Stegostoma tigrinum: one gene and its partners. The protein of the gene in region 2 purifies or fractionates together with the protein of the main gene of each other region. This does not show direct contact. Links are inferred from orthologs where the notes say so. Each region holds a gene or a part of one and is shown on either strand. Other genes may lie near its edges. The genes, in order: DDB1- and CUL4-associated factor 1-like, cops5, BTB/POZ domain-containing protein 2-like and klhl42.

What was found.
Region 1: the proteins of cops5 (region 2) and DDB1- and CUL4-associated factor 1-like purify together in Homo sapiens (affinity purification with mass spectrometry; 8 studies listed by BioGRID and IntAct, with this or other methods). This does not show direct contact. The link is inferred for Stegostoma tigrinum from reciprocal best matches to the Homo sapiens genes COPS5 and DCAF1.
Region 3: the proteins of cops5 (region 2) and BTB/POZ domain-containing protein 2-like purify together in Homo sapiens (affinity purification with mass spectrometry; 4 studies listed by BioGRID and IntAct, counting the BioPlex papers as one, with this or other methods). This does not show direct contact. The link is inferred for Stegostoma tigrinum from reciprocal best matches to the Homo sapiens genes COPS5 and BTBD2.
Region 4: the proteins of cops5 (region 2) and klhl42 purify together in Homo sapiens (affinity purification with mass spectrometry; 3 studies listed by BioGRID and IntAct, with this or other methods). This does not show direct contact. The link is inferred for Stegostoma tigrinum from reciprocal best matches to the Homo sapiens genes COPS5 and KLHL42.

The regions. Positions count from the first base shown.
Region 1 is NC_081364.1:62,919,683-62,926,513, reverse strand, and holds the start of DDB1- and CUL4-associated factor 1-like, read right to left. Parts: upstream 3,003-6,831; 5' UTR 2,925-3,002; intron 1-2,924. UniProt on the Homo sapiens protein: Acts both as a substrate recognition component of E3 ubiquitin-protein ligase complexes and as an atypical serine/threonine-protein kinase, playing key roles in various processes such as cell cycle, telomerase regulation and histone modification.
Region 2 is NC_081358.1:31,124,297-31,132,018, forward strand, and holds the start of cops5 (COP9 signalosome complex subunit 5), read left to right. Parts: upstream 1-4,713; 5' UTR 4,714-5,054; coding exon 5,055-5,197; intron 5,198-7,048; coding exon 7,049-7,283; intron 7,284-7,722. UniProt on the Homo sapiens protein: Probable protease subunit of the COP9 signalosome complex (CSN), a complex involved in various cellular and developmental processes.
Region 3 is NC_081383.1:17,877,188-17,885,030, reverse strand, and holds the start of BTB/POZ domain-containing protein 2-like, read left to right. Parts: upstream 1-4,842; 5' UTR 4,843-5,040; coding exon 5,041-5,516; intron 5,517-7,843.
Region 4 is NC_081371.1:29,036,115-29,043,194, forward strand, and holds the start of klhl42 (kelch-like protein 42), read left to right. Parts: upstream 1-4,071; 5' UTR 4,072-4,449; coding exon 4,450-5,210; intron 5,211-7,080. UniProt on the Homo sapiens protein: Substrate-specific adapter of a BCR (BTB-CUL3-RBX1) E3 ubiquitin-protein ligase complex required for mitotic progression and cytokinesis. The BCR(KLHL42) E3 ubiquitin ligase complex mediates the ubiquitination and subsequent degradation of KATNA1.

The DNA of each region.
Region 1 (6,831 bases), on a different chromosome or scaffold from region 2:
TATTCCTTTAAAAAAACGGTTGGGAGGAAATAAACTCAATATTTATTGCAAGACAAGATGACAAACAAATTGCACTGAAGACAATTGGGCCTTCTTTGCTTGCCATTTTTATTTGAAATATTATTTTGTTCTACAGGGTAGACTGAAGTACTTATTTAATCGAGGATGAGACTGAAACAGCAGTCTTTTCCATCCTGACCTCAGTAGGCCTCTTCTCTCCTCCCTCACTCTCCACACTTGCTTTCTCTTCCCCCCAACCACCTCTGGTCTCATCACCCGAGACTCTTCACCCACCTCTTTGGAGGAATGAGTCTGCGAAGAGGCAGACTCAGCACCCCATTCCTCAAGTGCTTCTGCAGGCCCACTTCCCCACACAGTCCCTCGTCACCAACTCTGCCACCCCGACACAGTCCCTCGTCCCCATCTCTGCACACCCCACGCAGACCCTCGTCCCCGTCTCTGCCCCCCCCACGCAGACCCTCGTCCCCGTCGCTGAAATCCACCCCCCACGCAGACCCTCGTCCCCGTCGCTGCAACCTCCCCCCACGCAGTTCCTCGTCCCTGCACACCCCCCCCACCCAGTCCCTCGCCCCCGTCGTTGCACCCCCCACCCAGTCCCTCGTCCCTGTCGTTGCACACACCCCACCCCCCCCAAGTCCCACGTCCCCGTCGTTGCACCCCACCCCAAGTCCCAGTCGTTGCACCCCCCCGCCAAGTCCCACGTCCCCGTCGTTGCACCCCCCTGCCAAGTCCCACGTCCCCGTCGTTGCACCCCACCCCAAGTCCCACGTCCCCGTCGTTGCACCCCACCCCCGAAAGTCCCACGTCCCCGTCGTTGCACCCCCCCGAAAGTCCCACGTCCCCGTCGTTGCACCCCCCCGAAAGTCCCACGTCCCCGTCGTTGCACCCCCCCGAAAGTCCCACGTCCCCGTCGTTGCACCCCCCCGAAAGTCCCACGTCCCCGTCGTTGCACCCCCCCGAAAGTCCCACGTCCCCGTCGTTGCACCCCCCCGAAAGTCCCACGTCCCCGTCGTTGCACCCCCCCGAAAGTCCCACGTCCCCGTCGTTGCACCCCCCCGAAAGTCCCACGTCCCCGTCGTTGCACCCCCCCCGAAAGTCCCACGTCCCCGTCGTTGCACCCCCTCCACGTCCCCGTCGTTGCACCCCCCCACGTCCCACGTCCCCGTCGTTGCACCCCCTCCACGTCCCCGTCGTTGCACCCCCCCACGTCCCACGTCCCCGTCGTTGCACCCCCCCCACGTCCCCGTCGTTGCACCCCCCCCACGTCCCCATCGTTGCACCCCCCCCACGTCCCCGTCGTTGCACCCCCCCGTCATTGCACCCCCCCCACGTCCCCATCGTTGCACCCCCCCCACGTCCCACGTCCCCATCGTTGCACCCCCCCGTTCCACGTCCCCATCGTTGCACCCCCCCCCCACGTCCCACGTCCCCCGTCCCCATCGTTGCTCCCCCCCCACGTCCCACGTCCCCCGTCCCCATCGTTGCTCCCCCCCGTCCCACGTCCCCATCGTTGCAACCCCCCCCGCCCCACGTCCCCATCGTTGCAACCCCCCCCGCCCCACGTCCCCATCGTTGCAACCCCCCCCGCCCCACCGTTGCAACCCCCCCGCCCCACGTCCCCATCGTTGCAACCCCCCCCGCCCCACGTCCCCATCGTTGCAACCCCCCCCGCCCCACGTCCCCATCGTTGCAACCCCCCCCCGCCCAAGTCCCACGTCCCCATCGTTGCAACCCCCCCCGCCCCACGTCCCCATCGTTGCAACCCCCCCCGCCCAAGTCCCACGTCCCCATCGTTGCAACCCCCCCCGCCCAAGTCCCACGTCCCCATCGTTGCAACCCCCCCCGCCCAAGTCCCACGTCCCCATCGTTGCAACCCCCCCGCCCAAGTCCCACGTCCCCATCGTTGCAACCCCCCCCGCCCAAGTCCCACGTCCCCATCGTTGCAACCCCCCCCGCCCAAGTCCCACGTCCCCATCGTTGCAACCCCCCCCGCCCAAGTCCCACGTCCCCATCGTTGCAACCCCCCCCGCCCAAGTCCCCATCGTTGCAACCCCCCCCGCCCAAGTCCCCATCGTTGCAACCCCCCCCCGCCCAAGTCCCACGTCCCCATCGTTGCAACCCCCCCCGCCCCACGTCCCCATCGTTGCAACCCCCCCCGCCCCACGTCCCCATCGTTGCAACCCCCCCCGCCCCACGTCCCCATCGTTGCAACCCCCCCCGCCCAAGTCCCACGTCCCCATCGTTGCAACCCCCCCCGCCCAAGTCCCACGTCCCCATCGTTGCAACCCCCCCCGCCCAAGTCCCACGTCCCCATCGTTGCAACCCCCCCCGCCCAAGTCCCACGTCCCCATCGTTGCAACCCCCCCCGCCCAAGTCCCACGTCCCCATCGTTGCAACCCCCCCCGCCCAAGTCCCACGTCCCCATCGTTGCAACCCCCCCCGCCCAAGTCCCACGTCCCCATCGTTGCACACCCCCCACCTCAAGCCCCACGTCCCCATCGTTGACCCCCCCCTAAGCCCCACGTCCCCATCGTTGCACACCTCCCCACCCCGGTCCCACGTCCCCCGTCATCCTCTTCAAGCCACACTGCTTCCCCAACCCCGTCCTCCTCCGGATCCTGTCCTCCTTCCAGTCTCTCCCCACTTTTTCCCTCCAACTCTCTGTTCTTGTTGTAGTTTCCTCTCCCTCGCGGACCGCTCCGGTTCCCCCCCCCTCCACCTCCTCACGTGTGGGCCCGGGGCCTCAACCACGGCCGGCTGCGGCTTCCCCTCTCCCCCCGCTTACGGTGAGGCCTCGCTCCGCCTCCCCGCGAGCCGAGAGGGTGTGGGGGCTACCGTTTGGCTGCCCTGCTGCACCGCCGGAGACTACGATAGTAGCGATCCCCGGGCGGGTTCCCACTGACCTGGCTGTCTAGCAGCGATGAGCTCGGTCTGTATCAGCGTCAGGCCCTAGGCTCCACGCTCCCAGTGATGGCGGCTGTGACGTCAGTTCGTTGCTGCGTGTGGCCGCTCGGCATTCTGGGGCTTGTAGTCCAGGCGTTTGGACATCACTGCGCCTGCGTAGCATCGTCGTTTCCCGACGTGGCGTGGAGCATCGTACGCGCAGTGGTATGGTCCTTACTTGTGGACCAGGAGACCGTATTTGCTGCAGATGTGTGTGCACCGGCTTTATTTTTAAAAAGTAGCAGAATTTACAACTTTGGCTGTAGTTCAGCCGAATTTTATTCTTTCTTCACTGTAGGTATGTAACCAACCTGTTTGGAAAACTTCAGAAGCAAGTGGCAGTTGAACCCAGTCCTTCAGAGGTGGTAAGTACGCTATCCCTGTGCCAATTCCTGTTTGCAATCTGAATTTGCCACATGGCGCTCGTTGTTGTCTTTCAATTGTGTTAGAAAGGGTTTAGGGTTAGGAGCCTTGCAGGCTTGGAGCTAGTCCCTTTCAATGCGAGGTCATGCCTTCCCCGCCCTTTCAAGGCGCCTTAAAAAGATTGTCTGGCTCCATTCCAAGTGAAACCAATATTTGTCGCCAGCCAACTGCAATCAAAATGCAGAAAAATGAAAATCATTAATTAAAAACAGACTGGTTGGTAATCATAATGTTTTTAGTCCTGTACTGCAAAGTATGTTGAGTTTAACTAAACATTAATTTTATCTAAGAAACACATTGAGGCTTTATCTGGCCTGGAGGCTGTGAGAAGATAATGTGACAATTCATTACTTTTTTATTGAGGCTGCTTGTATATCGCTAGTATATCATTCATGCTTCATTTTCCCATAATGGATATCACTTTTAGGTGTCTGGCAGTGAAGGGCAAGTGCTGTAAACTGGCTTATGTTTTCCATCTGTACCTGAAACAGCATAGTTTCCAGTCCTACAGAAGATGCATTTGTAGCAATTACAGTTGGTAGCAATGGGTTGGAGTGACCAGCATTAATCATCCCTAATTGCCTTAAGTTTGTTATTAATTTTATAGCAACTTGAACTAAGCTTTCTACTTTAGTACTGAGTGGGTGTTCAGATAAGTGGGGTATGGATGCTAGGGCAGTTGCTTGCTCCTCCTGCAGAATGTGGCAGCTGGGAGACATGGCACACGTCTCCACTGGCCACATCTGCGGGCAGTGCACCCGACTCCAGCTCCTTGAAAACTGTGTTAGGGAAATGGAGCTGGAGCTTTTTGAACTACGGATCATTCGGGAGGCAGAGGGGGTAATTGAGAGGAGTTACCGGGAGTTGGTCACTCCTAAGGCTCAGGACAAGGATAGATGGGTTACAGTTAGGGGGAAGAAAGGGGACAGACAGACAGTGCAGAGATCCCCTGTGGGCATTCCCCTCAGCAATAAGTATACCGCTTTGGATACTGCTGGGGGGGGATGACCTACCATAGTAGTCAGTTCTCTGGCACTGAGCCTGACACTGTGGCAAAGAAGGGAAGGGGGCAGAATAGAAAAGTACTCGTGGTAGGGGACTCGATAGTTAGGGGAATCGACAGGAGATTTTGTGGTCAGGATCTGGATTCCCAGAAGGTATGTTGCCTCCCTGGTGCCAGGGTCCGGCACGTCTCCGATCGGGTGTATAAGGTTCTAAAAGGGGAGGGCGAACAGCCAGAAATCGTGTTACATATTGGCACTAATGATATAGCCAGAAAAAGGATTGAGGATATAAAAAGTGATTTCAGGGAGTTAGGATGGAAGCTGCAAAGCAGGACGAACAGAGTAGTGTTCTTTAGTTTATTACCGGTGCCACGAGATAGCGAGGCGAGGAACAGGGAGCGGGCGCAGCTTAACACGTGGCTGCGCAGCTGGTGTAGGAGGGAGGGCTTCGGATATGTAGATAATTGGGATGCCTTCTGGGGAAGGTGGGACCTGTACAAGACGGATGGGTTGCATCTGAACTGGAAGGGGACCAATATCCTGGGTGGAAGGTTTGCTCGAGTAGTTCGAGAGGGTTTAAACGAGTATGGCAGGGGGGTGGGAACCTGAGCTGTCTCCCGGAGGTGAGAGTTGATGCAGGTGAGGCAATAGCAAGAGGTAGACCAGCTAGTGGGAAGGATTTTCCTGGGAAGGAACCAAGGGATCGGTTAAAGTGTGTTTGCTTTAACGCAAGGAGTATCAGGAATAAAAGTGATGAACTTAGAGCATGGATCAGTACCTGGTGCTATGATGTTGTGGCCATAACAGAGACATGGGTTTCTCAGGGGCAGGAATGGTTGCTGAATGTTCCAGGGTTTAGAGCATTTAAAAAGAATAGGGAGGGGGAAAAAGAGGAGGAGGTGTAACACTACTAACCAGAGAGGGTACCACAGCTACAGAAGCTTCCTTTGTCGAGGAAGATCTGCGTACCGAGTCAGTATGGGTGGAAATTAGGAACAGCAAGGGAGTAGTCACCTCGTTAGGGGTTTACTAAAGGCCTCCCAACAGCAGCAGGGAGATTGAAGAAAGCATAGGTCGGCAGATTTGGAAAAGTGTGGACGTAGTAGGGTTGTTGTAATGGGTGACTTTAACTTTCCCAATATTGATTGGAACCTCCTTCGAGCAGAAGATTTGAATGGAGCTGTTTTTGTAAGGTGTGTTCAGGAGGGTTTCCTAACTCAGTACGTTGACAGGCCGACGAGGGGAGAGGGCATTCTAGACTCGGTGTTCGGAAACGAGCTGAGGCAGGTATCAGATCTTGTGGTGGGAGAGCATTTTGGTGATAGTGACCATAACTGCCTCACATTCTACATAGCTATGGAGAAGGAGAGGATTAGGCAAAATGGGAGGATATTTAGTTGTGGAAGAGGAAACTATGATGCGATTAGACATGAGTTAGGAAGCATGGACTGGGAGCAATTGTTCCATGGTAAAGGCACTATAGACATGTGGAGACTGTTTAAGGAACAGTTGTTGCGAGTGATGAATAAATATGTCCTCTGAGACAGGCAAGAAGGGGTAAGAGGAAGGAACCTTGGATGACGAGAGCGGTGGAGCTTCTCATCAAAAGGAAGAAGGTAGCTTACATAAGGTGGAGGAAGCTCTAGAGGATTACAGGCAGACAAGGAAGGAGCTCAAAAATGGTCTGAGGAGAGCCAGGAGGGGGCACGAGAAAGGCTTGGCAGAACGGATTAGGGAGAACACAAAGGCATTTTACACTTACGTGAGGAATAAGAGAATGGTCAAAGAAAGAGTAGGGCCGATCAGGGATAGCATAGGGAACTTGTGTGTGGAGTCTGAGGAGGTAGGGGAAGCCCTAAATGAGTTTTTTGCTTCTGTCTTTACGAAAGAAACGAACTTTGTAGTGAATGAAACCTTTGAAGAGCAGGTGTGCATGCTGGAATGGATAGAGATAGAGGAAGCTGATGTGCTGAAAATTTTGTCAAACATTAAGATTGACAATTCGCCAGGCCTGGACCAGATTTGTCCTTGGCTGCTTTGGGAAATGAGAAATGCAATTGCTTTGCCACTTGCGAAGATCTTTGCATCCTCGCTCTCCACTGGAGTCGTATCTGAGGACTGGAGAGAGGCAAATGTAATTCCTCTCTTCAAGAAAGGAAATAGGGAAATCCCCGGCAATTACAGACCAGTAAGTCTCACGTCTGTCGTCTGCAAGGTGTTAGAAAGGATTCTGAGGGATAGGATTTATGACTATCTGGAAGAGCATGGCTTGATTAAATGCAGTCAACACGGCTTTGTGAGGGGCAGGTCATGCCTCACAAACCTTATCGAGTTTTTTGAGGATGTGACTAGAAAGGTTGATGAGGGTCGAGCTGTGGATGTGGTGTATATGGACTTCAGCAAGGCATTTGATAAGGTTCCCCATGGTAGGGTCATTCAG
Region 2 (7,722 bases):
CAAATTGTAGTTCTTTTTATCCATGCCTTGCTGCTCAAAACAGCTGCTGGTATAATCCTTATGTATATTCCTGACTCTGGTCCCTTGTCCTTCAAAATTTCACACAGTCCTTTCAGGTACAATATGTGCAACTTATCATACAAGCATGGATTAAACAGAAAATTCATTTTTTATTGACCTTAACTCAGTTAACTGGTTTCAGTCTGAAGATAACGTGGCCATTTTAATGCAGCCGTGGAACGTCTATTTCATATGGTTTTCTTTGCTTTAGTCTGTGATTAGATGACACAACAGCCATTTTAGATTCATTTTTGCCCTTTTAAAAACTGTTTTTAATCAATGTGAGGTATGGTAATTAGATGATAGAAGCTGAATATTGATGGTCCACTTTTATTACATTGTACATGACATTTGCATTATTAAACAGAAAATGCCAATATGACTATGGTTACAAAGATTTCACATTTAATATTTTTTGAGGACTTGATTATTAGAGGATTGTGAAAAATTGACTTGTTTGAAGTTCTGTGGTTGCCTGGATTGTTAACTTTTTCTAAAAATAGAGGTTGCACTAGAATCTTTTTTAAATTTACGCATTTATTGGACGTGACATGGTTTCAGTTAATTGATGGGCTTGTCTGCTGGACATCACTTACCTGAGTTTTATAATTACCAATGGTCTAGTTTCTGTGTTAACATTGTTTTGCACAAAGTTGGTGTCCAGTCTGCTGAAGGAGAGAAGCTTCTCAGCTCAACTCAAATAAACATAAAGAACTGCAGATGCTGGAAATCTTAAACAAAAATCAACAGTGCTAGAGAAACTCAGCAGGTCTAGCAACATCTGTTGAGAGAAAAATAGACTTAATGTTTCAGATCCAGTGACCCTTCATCAGCACTATGCATCCTTACCTGTTCTAGAAAAGTGATAGTGTGCTGCTGATTTGAATTACAGTGGACCTTGCGATGTAGGAATTCCCATAGCGCTGTTATAAAGGGACTTTCAGAATTCTGACCCATGGCAATTAAGAAATGTTTACACAGTTCTAAGCCAGGATAATGTGTGGCTTGGAGTGGAACTTGCATGTGGTGGTCCCCATGCATCTGCTGCCCTTATCCTTCTGGATAAATTGTGGATATGGAAAGTACTGTCAAAAGGAGCCTTTACAAGTTACAGGAGTATATCTTCTCGATGATGCACATTGCTGCTACTACATTGGTAGTGATGGAATGAATATTGAACATGGTGGATGGAATGTCAATCAAGAGGGTTGCATTGTCCAGGATAGTCTCAAACTTCTGGAGACTTGTTGCAGCTGCACCCATTCAGGCAACAGGTGATTATTCCATTATTCTTTACAATTGTGCTTTGTACATGCTGGACAGGCTTTGGGGAGTTAGGAGGTGAGTTACTCTCTGACCTGGTTTTGAAGTCTGGTTCAATTCAATTTCTGGTTTATGGTAACCCCTAGATTGTTGATAGCAATGGATTCAGCGATGGTAATGCTAACGAATGTTGAGCAACACATTTTCTCTTTTTGGAGATTGTATTGCCTGACACTTGTGCAACTATTATTTGCTACTTACTCAAGCCTTAATGTCTCAAATACCAAGAACTCAAAATTCATTGGTTGCATCAATATCTGAGGAGCTGCGAGTGGCGCTGAACATTGCGCAATCATGGGCAAACATCTTCCGACTGACTTTATGATTTGCAGAAGGCAATTGGTAAAGCAGCCAAAGGTGGCTGAGCATAAGCCACTACCCTGAGGAATTTCTGCAGTGATAACCCAGAACTGAGATGATTGACCTTTAACAACCATAAAATTCTGTCGTCGTGCTAGTTATGATTCCCACCACCTTGGCTCCATGTTGCCACACTCAGAACAAAGATGCCTTGGTATCAAGGGCAGTTACTGTGGTCTCTGATATTTAGCTCTTTTGCCCATTTTGGACATAGGATGCAGGGACTCAGTAACCCTGTTGAAACCCATGCTGAGCAGACTATTCATTTAGAAGTGCAGTATGGTGGCCTCTTTCATGACTCCTCCCTTCACTTTGCTGATGATAGAGAGTAAACTAAAAGAGCAGTAAGTGTCTATGTTGGATCTGACCTCTGTTTTTGTGAACAGGACATACCTGAGCATTTTTCCACATTATCAAGTAGAGGCCAGTATTTTGCAACAGTTAGGCTATGTGCCAGCTAGCTCTAGAGCACAAGTCTTCACTATGATTGCCAGAATATTGTTAGGGCTCATAGTTTTGGCAGTATCTAGCATCGTCAGCCACTTCTTGATATTACTAGAATAAATTTAATTGCTTAAATTCTGGTAACTATAACACCAGGATAGATCATTCACTTAGCATTTTTGGCTAAAGATGGATGCTCCTTTTGAACAGATGTAGAGCCGGGAATATTTGTTTAATTGTCCACCACCATTCAAAACTGGATATAGCATGACCAAAGGGCTAAAAGCTGATCCATTGGTTGTACAATCATTTAGCCCTGACTATTGCATGCTTCTTCTGCTGCTTGGTATGTAGGTACTCTTGTGTTGGGCTTCACCAGGCTGACATTTCCTTTTTAGGTATGCCTGGCGCTGCTTTTGACATTCCATCTTGGGCGCACGGTGGCTCAGTGGTTAGTACTGCAGCCTCACAGCACCAGGGACCCGGGTTCAATTCCAGCCTCGGGCAACTGTCTGTGTGGAGTTTGCACATTCTCCCCATGTCTGCGTGGGTTTCCTCTGGGTGCTCCGGTTTCCTCCTACAGTCCAAAGATGTGCAGGCTAGGTGGATTGGCCATGCTAAATGCCCATAGTGTTCAGGAGTGTGTGGGTTAATAGGGGAATGGGTCTGGGTGGGATGCTTCAAGGGGCAGTGTGGACTTGTTGGGCCGAAGGGCCTGTTTCCACTCTGCAGGGAATCTAATCTAATCTAAAAAGCCTTCATTGAACCAGATGCAAGTCCTCAGCTAGAGTACATTCAGTGCTGGACAGGTTTTGGAGAACTGGACGCAAGTTAGTCGTGACAGAATTCCTAGTCGCTGACTGGCTCTAGTAAACATAATGCTTATATGGCCGGTCCAGTTCAGTTTCTGGTTTATGGTAGCCATAAGGTGGTTGGTTAATGGTGGTAATACCATTGAATGTGATGATTGGATTCTCTCTAGTTGAAGATGGTCATTGCCTGGAAATTGTGTGGTGCAAATGTTACTTGCCACTAATCAACACAAGTGTGAATGTGTCAGATATGAAAAACATAAAATCGTACACTGGCTGTGTCAGTATCTGAGGAACCACAAATGGTAGTGAACATTGTGCAATCATTAGCACATATCTTCTTTATGACCTTATGATGGATGGAAAGTAATGTATCCTTGCCACCTCCGTGCTTCCTCTAAATGGTGTCCAATGTGGCAGATAACAAAGTGTGAAGCTGGATGAATACAGCAGGCCAAGCAGCATCTCAGGAGCACAAAAGCTGACATTTCTGGCCTTAGGTTTGTTATCTTGGATTCTCCAGCATCTGCAGTTCCCACTATCTCTCCAATGTGGCAGAGTTTTGATTCATCAGCCAAAGGAGAGATGGTAGGTGGTAATCAGCAAAAGCCTTTTCTGGTCCATGTTTTATCTGATACCATGAGACTTCGTGGGACCGTGAGTCAATGATGAGAATATCCAGGGGGACTCTCCCTGGATTTTATAAATCCACGCTGCCTCCTCTAGTGAGTCTGACCTTCCAGTATGATAGGAAATAACTCAAGTATGGTGGTGGTGGTTGTGTCTGGAATATTGTCTGTAAGGTTTGATTTCATGAGCATGACTACGTCAGGTTTTTGCTGTACCAGCAATTTTGGCACACGTCCTCACGTCAGTAAGGTGTTTGCAGATTCAACAAGGCTGGACTTGCATTGTTGCTCATGGTCCCTGCATCCCTAGTTTCATTCTTTTCTTTTGACTTTGTAGCAGTTTGATACAACCAACTGTCTTGCAAGGCCATTTCAGAGAGCACATATGAGTCAGTCATATCTGAGGAAGGTTCAGTGGACTCAAAAAGTTAACTCTTGATTTTTCTTCACAGATGCTGCCAGACCTACAGTTCTTCCTGAAACTGCTTTTGTTCCTGATTTACAACATGTGCTGTTCTTTCCGTTTTTATGAGTCAGTTGTGTTGGTTTGACTTATATATTGGCCAGACCCAGATAAGAATGACAGATTTCTAGCCCTAAAGGGCATTTGTGAACCAGAAGGATTGGAATGCTACTGGTGATTTGCTATGTTCTAATGATATTTTAATATAACTTATGCTCTGAAGGTATTTTCTACCCTTCTGTTTTGGTGGTCTCCAATTTAAATCAAAAGAAACAGTAATATCCTAATTATAAGTACATAAGAACAGGACAGCGCCGTTGAGGTCCTCACGACTGCCCTGCCATTTCATACTCATCATGGCCTCCAACTCCCTTTACAGCCTGCTGCCCGTAACTCTTCCTTACTTACTAATTAAAAAATTGTCTATGTCCTCCTTAAATTTATTCAACATGCGGCATCCATCGCACCCCAGGCTGGTGAATTCCACAGATTCACCGACCCTCTGAGTGAAGTTAATATGAGCTACTGTCGTCCTGGTGCGAGTTCCTCGCGTTCATCATAATATGAGCAGATCGTCACAGTCACATTTCCAGTCGGTTATTCCACTCTCCTCCGCCAGAGGGCGGCGCACTCGCTGACAGCTCGGGAGACCTTAGTGGCAGGCGCCCCGTTGATCTTAACCTGCCGTTAAATTCGGCGAACAAACGAAAGTCGGAACACAACGCGTTGGCAATCTACCCTAAACGACATTTTTAATTTAACTCGCTTGGGTTATTTGGTCTGATCTGCACCCTCCGCCCCCCTGTCCCCGGGGGCAGCGTGGTGAGTGGTGCCGGGCCGGAGCTGTCGCCGCTTGGAGGGGGCCTGGGCCTGCGCGTGCGCCTGGGCCGTTGACGGTTCGGTTGGTATTTGGAGGTGAACCTTCAAACCGGTGAGGAGGAGGAGGCAGGTGAAGGGGAGAAGATGGCTGGTGCGAGTGGTAACGTCGCGCAGAAGACTTGGGAACTGGCGAATAACATGCAGGAAGTTCAGAGCATCGATGAAATCTACAAATACGACAAAAAGCAACAGCAGGAAATCCTCGCGGCGAAACCCTGGACTAAAGAGTAAGTCTGTTACTCCTGACAGAATCAGAGGAGCAGTCAGAGATCCTTTTGTAGGCCCGACCCTTGTTATAAAATAATTATGCCCAAAAGTAACAATCCAGTCAGTTATTGTTAATAACAACATCGTCAGAAAGTGCTTTGGGATAAATCTTTAATACAAAAGGATAAAGTAATTTCCTCATGAACACAATTTGTAATTTTTAGTACCTCCCTGTTTTATTCTGTATTAGCATATTAGAACTATACGTCCTAAACTTTTCCAGCAAGATTGACTTTAGCAAAATACAAGTGACTGCGAATGCTGGACATCTGAGAAACTCAACAGGCGTGACAGCATCAATGCAGAGAAAGTACAGAATCAATGTTAGTGTGGACTCGAAACGTGCACTTAGTTTTCTGTCCACAGATACTGCCAGACTGACTTTACTGCTGCGCCACCAGCTCTGTAAATGTCTGATTATTCTTATTAGTCAATAAAAGACATACAAGGGCATAAGACAAGTCCAGTGACTTTCTTCAGCACTGTGTTTTGGCAAGAGGATTTTTTTTAAAAAGGGAGCATTTGAATGGTTAGAGATTGCAGAACTCGGAGATTCAGAGAGAGCTCGGTGACCGTTGTATTACTCACGAAAGGCTAGTATGCATGCACAGCAAGTAATTAGGAAAGTTCATATGGTATTATTTATTGAAATGGGAATTGAATAAAAAATTAGGGTGCTTATGCTTATTAAGTACTGGTGAGAACACATCATAAGTACTGTTTATTAGACTTGTCTCTTATGTAAGCAAGGTTGTAAATATATTGGTAGCAGTTCAGACTATCAACAATCATTCAGTAACGAAGGAAGTAAATCACTCCAGTTGCACAAAAATTACATTGGCTACTTTTTTTGTCAACCGGTGAACCAACATATAGCAATTATATGCACACTTTGAATTTGGAAGTTGACAATTTGCCTAATTAGTTATTTATAAGTCAGATATACTGTAAGAAAGAAATTGCATTCATTCAATGATATTCATGACTTCAGCGCTCCCTAAATATGCTACAATTGATGTAGCCCTTTCTACAGTGTAATCATGCTTATAACACAAGAAACTCTGTCAGTTTGCACACGACAAGTTCACATAAAAAGTCATGCCCACAATGACCAGGTGGTTATGTTGGTTGATGGATAAGTATGAAAAAAAATCCTGCACTTGTATATTACCACAGGATCTTTCACACCTGCCTGATGGGAAGGTAGACAGAGTCTAAATCTGAAAGACAGCATTGCGAATAATGTGTGATGTGAGACCATTTCCTTCTGGTTCTGATGCCAGAGTGCTTGCCACTGAGCCACTGCTGACTGCTGATAGCCAGCACTGTCTATGCCCACCTCACCACCAATCCGTGGACTAAAATACAAAATATTTGTTAGATATTTTTGTATGGTAGTACTGAGGGAGTTTTGCAATGGGTGTGAAGTTAATTTATTTCCCATCCATCTGTCCAAAAAGCATAAAGAAGGAAGAGCAGCGAGTTGCCCCAATTGTAGTTGATGTTCTTCCCTTCACCAGCACTACCAAAAACTGTCTCCCTGTAAATTGCTATTTGCAAGAAGTTGGTGTATGTAGTTTATCTACATAATGAGTAAACTATATTTTTATTATTTTTCATTTTAGCAATTATCTTCATATATTAACTGAATAATATTGATAACCTTTATGTATATTGCATTATTAAAATTTTGTTTTCTATCCATTGATATTTTAATCTCTAAGATTTTAGTGTGAATGCAAGAGCCTTGTGACTGTATCAGCAAGGTCAATTGCTACATTTTTCTAATTATTGTAATATGTGCTTTCCAGTCATCATTACTTCAAATACTGCAAAATCTCAGCTCTTGCACTTTTGAAGATGGTGATGCATGCCAGATCAGGTGGAAATTTGGAAGTGATGGGCTTAATGTTGGGTAAAGTGGATGGTGAAACAATGATCATAATGGACAGTTTTGCTCTCCCTGTGGAAGGGACGGAAACAAGAGTCAATGCTCAGGCTGCTGCATATGAATATATGGCTGCCTATATAGAGAATGCTAAACAGGTATGTTAAATAAATTTACAGGTTTTACAACTTCCAACTCCTGTTCTTTTAATATGTTAATAATGCAAAAAAGTTGTTTATTTTCAGGTCTTTTAAAACTTTTTTAGTAACTGGAGTATCTGTCTATGCTTAGTGTAAACTTTTCAACTCTGTGCACAACTTTCTGTTATTAGGTTTTGGTCATGATAATTGCCAACTTTTTCCAGTTCTGAATATGCAAGTTTCCTTTGTTTACATTTTATTTTAGCATTTGTTTATTTGAACATGTCATTCTGCCAATCTGGTGACTGGGTTTTTGCAAATCTCCTCCAAAATTTTTATAGAATTTTTTTTTCTCTCCCTTGCTGACTTAAATATCTATACCAGAGTAAGAGTTTGAAAAACAAAATGAAATCTCATGTTTGCCTGGTTGCATTTATCCATTAAATTATTTTTGATC
Region 3 (7,843 bases), on a different chromosome or scaffold from region 2:
ATTCTGAACAATGCTTCTTTAACACTTTGGAAGCAGCTAAATAGCTGCGTAAGACATTGAGTTAAAAGAACTCAAAGACTAGCACAAACTAAATTACTGGATGGTTTACCTGAACAGATCAATGATCTAAAATTAAGCAGGTTAGTTAAAAAAAGATAATGCATTTTTAAAATGTACAGTATTTTTTTAAAAAAGGAAAATAATGTCTGCTTTCCTCAGCTCATATCATGTCCACAACATATATTCAATATAAAACACTAACAGGTTCTGTAGTGTAGTGATAGTGAAACTGACCTACTAACTCACAGGTAGTGACTTCAAGTCCTATTTCAAACCATATAATTGAATTCAACTAAGTTTATAAAACCCAAAAGAACTACGGATGCTCTAAATCAGTTCCTGGAAAAGCTCAGCATGTCTGGCAGCATCAGTGGAGAGAAATCAAAATTAGCTTGGGTCCAGTGTTCTGAGGAAGGGTCACCGGACCCAAAACATTAACTCTGATTTCCCATCACAGATACTGCCAGACCTGCTGAGCTTTTCCAGCAGCTTCTGTTTTTGTATTAATTAAGTCAATGATTACTGGACTGACATCAGAAACTGATCAATAGAAAACCTCAACTGCTTCATTATGCTCTATGTACTAGTCTCTCGACCCTTCCATGGTAGAATTTCCACAGTGTTTTCCAAACTCTTGCTTTAATATTGACAGGACGTCTGATTGTCTCTTTTTGTGTCTTTCACCGAAGTTGGTCGCTACAGCAGAACCTCACAACTTCCCACCATCGCCATTACCATGTGAATTGGCAGAGCAAACATCCACGTGCCGAGAACAAATGTTAAAAAGTACAGATTTTACACGACATAGTGTTGAAAATTAAAGTCTGTCAGTGTGCAGTGTTAATATGACAACAATGGCTGACACTTGTGAGGACAGGAATGTTTATATCAGCATTTTTAAGCTAGAATATGACGTGGCCACAATGTTCATACATAGAGATATGAGAAATGAAATCATAACAATGTTTGACCTCTGCTGAAACTATCCCAACAAAGAAAATGTAATTGTGTATCATGTGCACAAGATTTTATATTTACAATACCTGGCATGTGCCATTTTTGTAGCTGGATGAGAGACGTAAGGTGCAATTCAGCGATTGGGTTAGACTATCCTCCCTAACCTTTATATGTAGAAGATGTACACAATGGGATCATTAAGCACAGAATCTACAGAGGTCTTCAAACATGAGATAGGGTCTATTAACAGACGCACATAAGGAAGGGGCAGGCTGAAGAAACTATTGCACATTGGATGGTCAATTTTACATGGCAATTGAAGGTTAAGCATTTGTTAAATTTAAACAAGATATTAGATAGATCAAGATATTAAACCGCCTAGCAGAAATTTGTTAACCACAAACTATTCAGGGGTATAGATTAAAATTGAGCATTTACAGTTAGTTCACAGATCAGCCATGATTTTATTAAATTACAGGACAGGACTAAATGGCCACTCCCACTCCTATACTGTGATTAATTACTACATTTTTCCTTTCCGCTAATGGCCACAGGCAGTTGTAAAAGAGCTGATGCCAGGTTTTCTGATCCTCAGCCGGTTGCACTAAAAGCTAACATTGCAGGGAAAGCCTGTCATCCATTGAAGTGTTTCAATTAAATGGATAACCTCCCAGTGAAAAATTGAGTCTGCAATGCAGGGAAAGACAAACTTGGAAACTGATAGCCTCAGTTTCATTTTTTTTCTGGTTTGTGGAACTTCCTGTTGATTTCCAATTTTCACTTGGCTAGTCCAATGTGTACCACATGTAATCAAACACACCTGAGAACTTCAGTAAAAATACCATGCTTAATATTGGATAAGACCCTAAGAAAAATGAGTAGGTCATTCAGTCAATTGAGTCCATTCCACCATTCAGTTAGATCATGGGATTAAAAATCTGGTTATCTCAGCCTTGATTAAATTAAACAATTCAGCCTTGACAGCCCTCTCTGGTAAGTTGAGAGAAAAATAATTCCTCATTTTCTCTGTCTTAAATGGGCACACCTTACGCTGAGATAATGCCTTTCTTGTCCTAGACATTCTCACAAGTGAACACAAACTGTCTGCAGCGACCCTATCTCATCCCCTAAGAATCTTAAACATTTCAGTAAAGTCTCCTTTCATTCTTCTAAATTCCAATGAACACAAGCCCAACCTACTCAACCTACCCTCACAAGAAAATTTTTTCATACCCAGGGTCAAGCTAGTAAACCTCCTCTGGACTGTCTCTGATGCCAACATATTTTTCCTTGGATAAAGGGACCAAAACTGTTCATTGTATTCCACAGGTCTGTGGTCTGGCTAGTCCCTTTTATAATTTTAGCAAACACTCCCTGTTTTTATATTTAATTCATCCTGAGTGGGGCAACATTCCATTTGAATGACAGAATCTTTACATCACAGAAAGAGACAGATCAGCCCATCAAGTTCACACTGACCTTCCAAACCACACAAACCCAGCCTCCCACCATATCCCTGTAACTCTGCATTTCCCATGGGTAATCCACCCAGCTTGCACACTCCTGGACAGCATGGGCCAAATTTAGCATGGCTAATCCACCTAACCTGCACATCTTTGGACTGTGACAGGAAGCTGGCAGAAACCCATGCAGATACAGGGAGAATGTGCAAACCTTGCACAGGCAATTGCTTCGGGCTAGAATCAAACCCAGGTCCCTGGCGCTGTGAGGCAGCAGTGCTAACCACTGAGCCACTGTGCTGCCCTATTGCCTTCCCTATTATCCACTGTACTTGGGTGCTAGCTTCTTCTTATTCATGCACTGGGACTCCCACATCCCTAAGTTGTTCAGCTATCTGCAGTCTATCTCCATTTAAATGATATTCACTTCTTCTATTTGTCCTGCCAATGTGCATAATCTCATTTCTTCCCAAATTATATTCCATCTAATAAGTTTTTGCTCATTCATTTACCTTGTCTAAATCCCTGCATATCTCACCACTTGCCTTCTCACCTACTTTTATGTCATCTGCAAACTTGGGTATAGTACAATCACTAGCATCATCCAAGTCATTAATATATTGTAAATAATTGTAGCCCCAGAACTGAACCCTGCCGCACTCTACTTCTTACAGGTTGCCATCCTGAAAATGTCCTCTCGATCACAACTGTCTTATCGGTTAGTTAACCAATCTACTATCCCTGCTAATACACTAGCCCCACCACCACGGGTTCTTACCTTATTAAGTGGCCCTATGTATGATACCTTAGTGAACGCTCTTTCAAAATCCAAAATGTAACAACTGGTTCCCCTTTATCTAGACTGCATGTTATTGTCTCAATGAACACAACCTATTGTTCCAGAAAACTATCACACATAGTTGCTATCATGGCTACTCCGCCAATTCAATTTTCCCAATCTACATGAAGATTGAGAGAAGATGAAGATTAAAGTCACCCATGATTAATGCCCTGCCTCTTTTTACATGGACTCATCATCTCCTGATTTATTCTTTGTGCTACAAAACAGCTAGTGTTCTGTTTTGTAATAACAAAGCTAGCCCACCACCCATACTTGTCTCTCTGTCTTTTCAAAAGGTCACAAGCCCCTGAATATTTAGACATCAGCATAAATCTCTTTGTAACCATGTGCCCATAATGGCTATAAAGTCATAACCATTAACCACTATTTGTGTCATTAATTCAATTATTTTGTGCTGCATACTTTGTATGTTTCAGACCCATTAATTTTGCCTTTTTACTGTGAATATCCTATCACACGAAGTAAATTACATTGAATGGCTGCATCAGTGAAGAGAGAAACAGAGTTAACATTTCATGTCCAGTATGAGTCTTCTTCCAACTCAACTTGTTAACTCTGATTGTTCCTTGATGGATGCTGCGAGACCTGGTGAGTTCCTTCAGCACTTTGTGTTTTATTTCAGATTTCCAGGATCTGCAATTTTTTGCATTTATTAAATCGACCACCAGTGGATTTACATATTATGATTTCATAAGAAGGGAGCTGTGAGCTCACTTATTTATCCTGTATATTAAAATGATAAAGATTTATGATTATTTATACTTAAATGGAATGCAGTTGATAGACATGATGTTAGAGTTGAATCAGAATCGAGTTAAACAGAACACTAGTGGAGTTATAAGCAATAATTTCGGTAGATGGAGTTGAGGGAACTTTCAACTTTTGAATAGATAAATATGGCTCATAATATTTATTTTTTATTGAAAAGAACAGACATAACAGAAGTAGATACACGAGTGTTGTTTACCTAATAGAAAAGAATATCAGTGGATAAATGATAATTTCAGCAAAGGGACCAAAATCATTTATCATTGCACATTCTAAAATAATAAATATGGTTAATTATTCTTTATTTGTGATTGAAAAGGGCAGAGATAATGGAGAGATTGGAGGGAGGTTGTGCTGACAGCAATGAGAATGGAATTATTGAGTATCAATAGATTTACAAGTAATGATTTCAGTAAATGGGGCTGAAGTCATTTATCATCCTACATATTGACATGATAAATATGGTTAGTTATTTATTATTTGTAATTAAAAGGGCACACCTAATCGAGAGATGTATAGAAAAAACTGTAACAACAGGAACAAGAATAGAATTATTGACTACCAGTGGATTTACAATTAATAATTAAGGTGGGGGGGGCAAAGTTATTTATCATCCCGTATATTAATATGGTGAATAAGATTAATAAATCATTATTTGTAATTAAAAGGGGCATAGATAACAGAGAAATGATAGGGATGCTGTAATAACAGCAACCAGTATAGAATTGTTGAGTACCAGTGGATTTACAAGTGCTAATTTTAGCAAAAGGAGATGGGGTTAGTTTTTTTTAAGGGGACATATGTATTTATGTTTGTGATTAAACTGGAGAAATATTCCAGAGGAGGGAGTTGTATTAAGTGGGGACTTTGATCTGGCTTTAAGGAGGGCCATGCTCTCAGCAGCTGCTGTTTGTAAACAGATGCCACTTCAAGATGGCGGCGGGAGGGAGCAACCTCAGCGCCTGTAACCGAGTCAACATCCCTAATGGCGGCGGCGGAGGTGGTGGCGGTGGATCGGGCAGCCCGAGCTTGGGCACCAGCTCCTCGCCGCCTTCCTCGCTGTCCGGCGGGGTCGGGCCGGGAGGAGGTGGAGGATCGGCGGCGGCGGCGGCAGCAGCAGCAGCGGCGGCCGCGGCTGTAGTCATTTGCCGGGAGCCCATGTACAACTGGCAGGCCACCAAGACGACGGTGAAGGAGCGCTTCGCCTTCCTGTTCAACAACGAGATCCTGAGCGACGTGCACTTCCTGGTGGGCAAGGGGATGGGGACGCAGCGGATCCCCGCTCACCGCTTCGTGTTGGCCGTCGGCAGCGCCGTCTTCGACGCCATGTTCAACGGCGGCATGGCCACCACCTCCACCGAGATCGAGCTGCCCGACGTCGAGCCCGCCGCCTTCCTTGCCCTCCTTAAGTGAGTGCGGCCTGAGGGGAGGGGAGGGGCGGTTATTCATCAAACTTACGCCGTGGTTTGAGGCCTATCTAGATCTTCTCCGCTCCAAGACGGATGCCGGCCCGTCCTTTAGTACTGGAGAAGTCTTATTTTATTTTCTTTTATTGCCCCCCCCCCCCCCGGCATATTTACGGCGTTTCCCTCCCCGCGTGTTTAAAGATGTTATCAAAGTATTATGTTTAAACTCGCAGTCGGGAAGGCGCAGTCTGAGTTTTTATAAGATGGTTCACGCCCTTTTTGTTGGTGTTTTGCGGTGGGGGAGGCTGGACTTTTGTAGCCTCGGGGCTTCATTCATAGTCAGCGGAAGGTTGCAGCTGCGCTGATCCAGTTGGTGGTGATGCCTTCTTGAGTAAATGGGGACTAGCTTAAGACAGACTTGTCCTTTGTAAGGTACTAAAATTGCATCGCATCGCATCGCTTTCGGGTTTTCGGGGAGACGAGGTTATGTTTTGCGCCTATGATGCAGCTGTACGTCTGGGTATTTCGTTTTTGGTTTGTGGACCTTGAAAGGGTCTCATTTTCAGTGCTCATTACGCCGACAGAATGAAGGCAAGATGGCTAATGCACCGCAGAGTATTGAAAGCTTTTGCACCTCTTCAGTCAGAAGACTAATCAAACTACATTCCTGTGAAAAGCTCAATATCTGCTTTACGCTTGGATTTTAGCAAGTGTCAGCAACATTTTTTTTATTTTAAAGGGGGCAGAGATTTCTGCTTATTGCCCCACCCAGTTGTTTTTCCACTGATGCATTAATATTTGGAATTAAAAATCTAATTGCTTCCAGATTTCTGTTAACCCCCCCCTCACCCTTTAAGTTGTAGCTCACAAATTTTAGGTGACAAGTCTGTTTAAGCTGCCTGTTTTTAACGCAGCTGATACAAAATGCACATCATAACTCTTGCCAAACATGTGAGTTTTACAGTCTTTTTTTTTCTCGCTGTTGGTGCGCATCATCAAGTGAGATATTGTGCAATGATGCACAACTTGACATTATAGAGCCCTTACTGTCTTTGAAAAGTGACATTTTGGACTATCAAATCTGTACAGCTTTCTTGCTTAAACCATTGGTTATTTGGTCCCAGGCTTTCAAAGTTATTTTTACAATATCTGTTGTCTGTGGTGCTGGAATGGTGGCATTAATCACATGAGGGCTTGTATGTAATACATGTAATTTTTTTTGTCTGAGCTGTGGCATTGTGTTGCTAGGTTGTTCTGCAGTTGAACCTGATCTTGCCTAATGTTGATGCACGCTTTCTAGTAGTGTACTATTAAATAGTCAGCTGGAACTGAAATGCCAGATAATGCATCCTAACCAGTGAAGGGAGAGGAGGGCAGCGGTTAACCTGAAAAAGAACCCCTGTGACTTTTTCATTTTCTAATCACTTAACAATACATGGGAGATGGTAGCATGGTGGTAACTAATGCTCTGGGGAACTTGTTTCAGTCTACAGCAACTGGTGGAAATTAAATTTCACTTGAGTTGAAATCCAGACTCGTTCAGGTGAGTGTGACACCATTGGAAAAGTCCTGAATGGGTCACTTCCTTCTACCGTTTTTACCTGCTCTGGCTTCCTTGCGGATTTTGTGGCATTATTCTTAAAATTGTAACCATATTTGTATAACTGATCCCTGTTAGGAGAAATAAAAGAATGCTTTGAAGTTACAAGTGAGTTCTTGGTCAACCACAATGTTCTGCCCTCTTGTTCGGAAAGCGGTGACGTACACCAGGATATAATTCATGTGAGCACTATCCTCGTCGGGGCACAGCATAAGCTCCTGTTTCCAGTTGTGAATTAGATTAGGCCTGATTGGGTGAAAATGTAAAAAACATTTTATTTTCACCCAGTGTCTATGCAGCTATTATTTGATGACTACTATTAATCTAGTCACTGTTCTGACAGAATTCAGCTCAGATCAGCAGTTGAGTTCCGAGGAAGGGTAACTGGACCCAAAACGTTAACTCTGATTTTTTTTTCACAGATGTTGCCAGACCTGCTGAGCTTTTCCGGCAACTTCCATTTTTATCCTAGCAATTAAGTAGTTTCTCTTCAGTGTAGCTCATCACTACATAGCACATTTACCCATCAAACCACTGTTTTAAGAGTTTGTTAGCTCAGACAGTTGGTTTGCGATGATGTGATATCAGTTGCACTGGCTCAACCCTTACACTTGCTGAGGTTACTTTGAAGGACTGTCCTTCTCAACTTCTCCCCTTACCTGAGGCATGGTGACCCTCTGGTTAAATCGCCTGCAGATGTGTATCTCTGATGAGAGATCAAACTGACAGC
Region 4 (7,080 bases), on a different chromosome or scaffold from region 2:
TTTTTTTTAATTAACTCCATTTCGCATTATCATGATTTTATTAGCATGATGTGGAATAGCAGTAATGTCATTGGATTACATATTTAAATGGAGTTATATCACAGTATAGAATTAACCCCTTCAAAATGCTCACAGATTGAATGCTTCAGATTCAACAGACAGATATAATCAAGCAAGTCAAGGGTACTAAGTCATGTAGTATGACTATGTAATGTGACCATATGACTGTGTAATTTGATATAGTCTGGGAAGACAATTTTTTTTGTGTTCATTTGTGGGCTGTGTATGTCACTGGCTGGCCAGCATTTCTTGCCCATCCCTACTTGCCCATGAGAAGATGATGGTGAGCTGCCTTGTTGAACTGCTGCAGTCCTCCTGCTGTGAGCTGACCCACAGTGCTGCTAGGGAGGGAATTCCAGGATTTTGAATCAATGACAGTGAAGGAATAGCAATATATTTCCAAATCAGGATGATGAGTGGCTTGGAGGGGAACTTGCTGGTGGTGGTGCCCCCATATGTCTGATGCCCTTGTCCTTCCAGATGGAAGTGGTCATGATTTTGGAAGGTGCTGTCTCAGGATCTTTGGTGAGTTTCTATAGTGCATCTTTTAGATAATACACACTGCTACTACTGAGCGTCGGTGGTGGAGGAAGTGGATGCTTGCAGATGTAGTGCCCATAAAACGGGCTGCGTTGTCTTGGATGGAGTCCAGCTTCTTGAGTGTTGTTGGCAAGTGGGAAGTGTTCCATCATACTCCTGATTTGTGCCTTGTAGATGATGGACAGGCTTTGAAGAGTCAGGAGGCGAATTACTCGTCGCAGTATTCCTAGCTTTTGGCTTGCTCTTGTAGCTGTATTTCTGTGGTGAGTCCAGTTGAGTTTCTGCTCAATGATAACCCCCAGGATGTTGATAGCAGGGGATTCGGTGATGGTAACACAATTGAATGTCAATTGAAACACAATTGAATGATCTTATTGCATTTGAACATGGACTGTTCATTATCTGAGCAGTCACAAATGGTGCTGAACATTGTAATAAAATGTGAGGCTGGATGAACACAGCAGGCCAAGCAGCATGTCAGGAGCACAAAAGCTGATGTTTCGGGCCTAGACCCTTCATCAGCTCTCTGATGAAGGGTCTAGGCCCAAAACGTCAGCTTTTGTGCTCCTGAGATGCTGCTTGGCCTGCTGTGTTCATCCAGCCTCACATTTTATTATCTTGGAATTCTCCAGCATCTGCAGTTCCCATTATCTCTGGTGCTGAACATTGTTCAGTCATCAGTAAACATCCTCACTTCTGACCTTATGATAGGAAGGAAGGTCATTGATGAAGCAGCTGAAGATGGTTAGGCCTAGGACACTACCCTGAAGAACTCCTGCAGACTTGTCCTGGAGCTGAGATGATTGACCTCCAACTACTACGATCATCCTCCTATGTGTCAGGTATGACTCCAACCCAGATACCCAGTTTTGCTCAGGCTCCTTGATGCTACACTTGGTTGAATGCAGCCTTGATATCAAGGGCTGTCACTCTCACCTCTCCTCTGGAATTCAGCTCTTTTGTCCATGTTTGAACCAAGGCTGCAATGAGGTCAGGAGCTGAGTGGCCTTGGCAGAACCAAAATTCAGCGTCACTGAGCACTGACAGTGGCTTAGTCGTAAAGTTACTGGTCTTGCAATGTAGAATCTCAGGCAATGCTCTGGGGATCTAAGTTCTATTCCCACCAAGGCAAGTGGTGAAATCTGAATTGAATAAAAAAAGTGAAAAGCTAACCTCAAGGCAATGATGTAACCATTGCTGGTTGTCATAAAACCTGCTATCCTTACTAGATCTGACCTTACCGTACTCCAGACACATTGCCAGAAAGAATGGTAGCAGCAGATTTATATCGCATTACAAAGGGAATTGTTTGTATATTTTTGAAAACAATCCAGGACACGGGGAAAAGGGCACGTATGACTAACTTCATAACTCTTCAAGTAGTTAACACAGATGACAATGGGCCAGAAAGCTTCCTTCTGAGCTTGTGATCCACAACAGCATTGTCATCCAATTCTGAGCTCTTCAAAAAAAGCCCTGATTAAATTGGTGAAACAATGCCTCTGTTTTCAAAAGCCATAGTTGTATTCTGTTATAACAGCTGAAGTTTCCAAAAGATCATGCAATGATCATGCAGTATGTCTCTAATAGAAACACAAGATACAAAGACAATAGGAGCAGGAGTATGCCATTCAGCCTGCTGAGACTGCTCCAACATTCAATATGATCATGGCTGATCATCTAACTCAGTACCTTGTTCCTGTTTTCTCGTCATAACCGTTGATGCAATTAGTTGTCTCCTTCTTGGAAGCACTCAATGTTTTGACCTTAACAGCTTCCTGTGGCAGAGAATTCCATAGGTTCACCACTTTCTGGATGAAGAAATTCTCCTCATTTCAGTCCTAAATAGCCCACACAGTTTCCTTAGACTGTGACCTGTGGTTCTCCAGAACATCCTTCTTGCGTTTATTATGTCTAGTCATATTAGAATGTTATAGACTTCTACCAGATCCCCCTCATTCTTCTAAATGCCAGTGAATATAATTCTCACTGATCCAGCCTCTCTTCATACTTGATCATCTCACTACAACTTAATTTTCAGAAATGAATAATGTCATGGATTATTTTCACCATAATTTTCTCAAAGTGATAGCTTCAGTTTTAAACTTGGGAAGCTATTTGTCAAAGGAATTAAAGGAAGTTAATCTTGGGATTTTAGGTTATATTTTCTGATGTTCAGATAACTAGATAGTCTCAAGATCAAACAATAAAATAACAGTAATAAACTCAGAAAGGGGATAATTTAAGACCTGACATGCCACCTTGTCCTCTAATTATAATGATGAATTTATGTTGCTTACCTGGCAAATTTAAGTTGCTCCATTTAATGTACGGAGGTAAACGTTCATTGAACTGAAAGATTGACTCTTTTTCTCTCTCCACATATTCGCCTGACCTGTTGAGTATTTCCTGCAATTTCTGTTTTATTTAAGAATTCCAATACCTGCAATATTTTGTTTCTGTATCCCTGCTGCTTTATGCAAACTTCTGTTCTCTGTATATCTGTATAAATATTCTTTTTATCAACTCCACGACTTGAGTATGTCTTTCCAGCTGACATTAGGTGTAGCAGTAAAATTGCTGAGGTGTCATATTTCAGACGAGACATTAAACGAGGTAACAAAGTGCGGAGATAACACAGTGTGAAGCTGGATGAACACAGCGGGCCAAGCAGCATCAGAAGAGCGCAAAAGCTGACATTTCGGGCCTTTATCTCTGATACAACATTCAACGAGGGTCCGTTTGCTTGCTATTAAGTAGATGCAGAAGATTCTGTAGCGAAATGTTATCCCTCAACCGTCAGCAGCAAATAACAGTTATTTGAGGGACCTTGCGCTGTTTAAATTGCCTCATTACCGTGGTTATATTTCAAATGTTACCATTATTTATGAGAAGCCTTGAGAGGTGAAAGGCTAGATATAACACAGGTTCTATACTCGCTCTTGTACCTAAAGTCAACGCTCACTTACTTCCTTTATTACAAAGTATTGTGATTTACATAATGGAAAAAGTCATTCCTGACTCTGTTCTCTTAAACTAATGCCTTGGCTTTGTACTGTCGAAACTGTGGAATGCTGTCTTTGTACACGGTGGCCAGTACCCAAAGCAGTGCTCAACGTGTGATCTTGACAAGGCGAACAGTTCCATTTCTAACACTGCAAAGTTATAATACGATCTTCAGGATTTCTGTTGTCTATAGGTACATACTGAGTGTTTTTTTTAATTCAAATAAAGTCCATATAACAATTTATTTATCTTTGAAACAGCTGGGTTTTTATTTTATCAGTTGGTCGACTCTGTTTAAAATCCCATTGCATCATAAAAAAGGACGCGGTACCACATCTGTAAAAACAATCAGAACAATAATATACTACTGTTTTTGTTTTTAAATACACCGTTGCCAGACTGTCACAAATGATACATGTAACTCCGCGCAATATTTCATGCGCAGTCAGAGCGAGCTGAGTGCCTTTCAAAGGTAAGATGCGAGAGGAGCAGAATGTGCTGGTTGTTGCCTTTTGCAGTCCGAGATTGGCCGTTGTAAACGGAACAAGAAGTGACGATACAAAAATGACAAGGAAACGAGATTAAAGAAACAAGCGAGCAGGCTGTGAAACTTCAACCGAATATGCATAGAAACCGAGTAAGCATTTAGTGATTGCTTGCACTGTGTGCAACAAGGTCCTGCTGTTATATTACACTGGACACGGCAATGTTAATAAATCTACTGAAACGGGTGTTTTGTCTGATGTAGGCCCGCGTGCAGATCCGAATAAATATAAATAAAAGCTGAACCTGCCCGCTGAAAGAAAACAGACTGTATTCATTCAGTCCTCATCTGCTGATACGATGTCCTCCGAAGAAATCATAGCTATCATAATAGACGATAAGACGTACAATGTCAATAAGAGTAAGTTAATTGAGAAAAGCGATTATTTTAAAGCCCTGTATAACTCCGGGATGAAGGAATCTGAAGAAGATTCGGTGCAGCTGCAAGGCTTGAGTGCGCATGGACTGGAGCTCGTCATTGAATTCATCAACACTTCCAAAGTACATTTTGATAACGAGACCTTGGAAGATTTAGTGGAAACAGCGTCGTTTCTCCAGGTGTCTTCCATCTTGAAGCTGCTCCTCTCTGAGATTAAGGTGGATAACTGTGTGGAGTTATATAAACTTTCTGAAATTTACGGAATCGCTGATCTGAGAAAGGCCTGCCTCAAGTTCATGGTGTGTCATTACCACCCAATGCTGAGGAGGCAGGAATTTAGCCATCTACCCAAGACTTTGCATCAACAAGTCAGGGAGATGCGCCTTAAAGGCACAGCTGTCTTGGTGGCAGTAGGGGATTTCTTTAGCACCTCCTTGGATCAGTCTCCTGATGAGGCTTGGTCAATGCTGAGATATGATGAGGTTGGACAGAGATGGCTACCCTTGGCAAACAGCCTCCCTCATGACATGGTGAATGTGAGAGGCTATGGTTCCACAGTGCTGAATAATTACCTTTTCATCATTGGTGGATACAGAATGACTAGTCAGGAGATCTCGGCTGCACATTGCTACAATCCTTGCAAAAATGAATGGAATCAGATTGCACCAATGAATCAAAAAAGGTACAAAGCTGGTAATCACTTAGTTCACTCTCACCACAGTGTGATATCAGAAATACAAACCGCAATTGCTGAAACAAAAAACGTGCAGGTCTGGCAGCATGCTGGCAGATGCCAGAACTGGTGAGATTTTTCAGCAATTTCTGTTTGTGTTTCCAATTTCGAGCACCTACAGTTCTTAGTTTCTTTTTGTGCTGTCAGAAATATTATTTCTCACATCGCTTCGATAACCAACAACCTTCGTTTTTTATAGACAATTTATATCTGATAAATGTCAGTTTCACAAATGACATAAGAAAGTTTATAAATGCTTGAAATAATCAGAATCACCATGACCCAGATCTTTTATCAATCTATTTTTGATAATGGAGCAGAATTTTTACCAAAGCATTTCCAACCTGTGAAAAGCTCATGAAGTGGGGATTCCCCTCTCTCACAAAGGTACAACTAGTCTCTTAATGCTGCACATTTCAAACAGGCCTTATTTGTAGTAATAAAAATAGTAAATCAGAGCACTTACAATGTCTTGATTGGGTGTCATCTGCAGTTGGTAGAAGTGGGGAGACCTGTGTACTAACCAGTTAACGCATCATTCAAAAAGCCTACAGTGACCAACTGTTTGGTGCAGGCTTAAGGGGCTAAATAGCAATTCCTTCTCCAGTTTCTTATGTTTTTAAGTAGCAGTTACTTCAGTATTTGGGATAATTAACAAGTGTTATAGACCATTTTTCTTTCATAAGTACAGCACACTGGCTTCTTAACTAAAACAAAATTAATTGAAACAATGTTTTGAAGTCCAGTAAATGGGTTGAAACAATGTTGTGATGGCACTCCAACATTGCACTGTTCTACCACTGATGAACATTAAATATAGGAGCATAAGTATTCTATTCATACTTTTGAGCCTGTCATACAGTTATAGAGTCATACAGTTATACAGTACAGAAACAGGCCCTTTGGTCCAACCAGTCCATGCCAACCATACTCCCAAACTAAACTACTCCCACCTGCCTGCGCTGGCCCATATCCCTCCAAATATTTCGTATTCATGTACTAATCTAAATGCCTTCTAAATGTTCTAGCTGTACCTGCATCCATCACTTCCTCCGGAAGTTCATTCCGCACACACGAGCCACTCTGTGTAAAATAAAAATTGCACCTCATGTCTTTTTAAAATCTTTCCCCTCTCATTTTAAAAATATGACCCTAGTCTTGAAATCCCCAATGTTAGGGAAAAGGGACCTGCCATTCATTCAACTTATCTATACCCCCTCAATGATTTCATAAATCCCGAACTTGTCTCCTCAACCTCCTATGCTCCAATGAAAAAAGTTCCAGACTAGCCAGTGTCTCTTTATAACTCAATTCCTCTAGTCCCAGCAACTGGTAAATCTCTCCTGAAATCCTCTCTAGCTTAGTAATATTCTTCTGTAACCGGAAGACCAGAACTGGACACAATACTCCAGAAGAGGTTTCACCAATGTCCTGTACAATCTCAACATAACATCCCCATTCCTATACTCAACGGTCTGAGCAATGAAGGCAAGCATGCCAAACGCCTTCTTAACCATCTTACCTATATGTGATGCAAACTTCAAAGAATAATGTACCTGTACCCCTTGGTCTCTTTGTTCTACAACCCTTTGGATAAGTACATGAATAGGAAAGGTTTGGAGGGATATGGGCCAGGAACAGCCAAGTGCGACTAGCTGAGTGTGGGATTATGTTTGTCATGGCCTGTTTGGACTAAAGGGTCTGTTTCCCTGCTGTATGACTCTGTGAGTCCTACTTTGAGTTGTGTAAGTCTTTGTTTGTTTTACCAAAATATAATAGCCCACATATATCCAAATTAAAATTCATCTGGCTGTCTTCA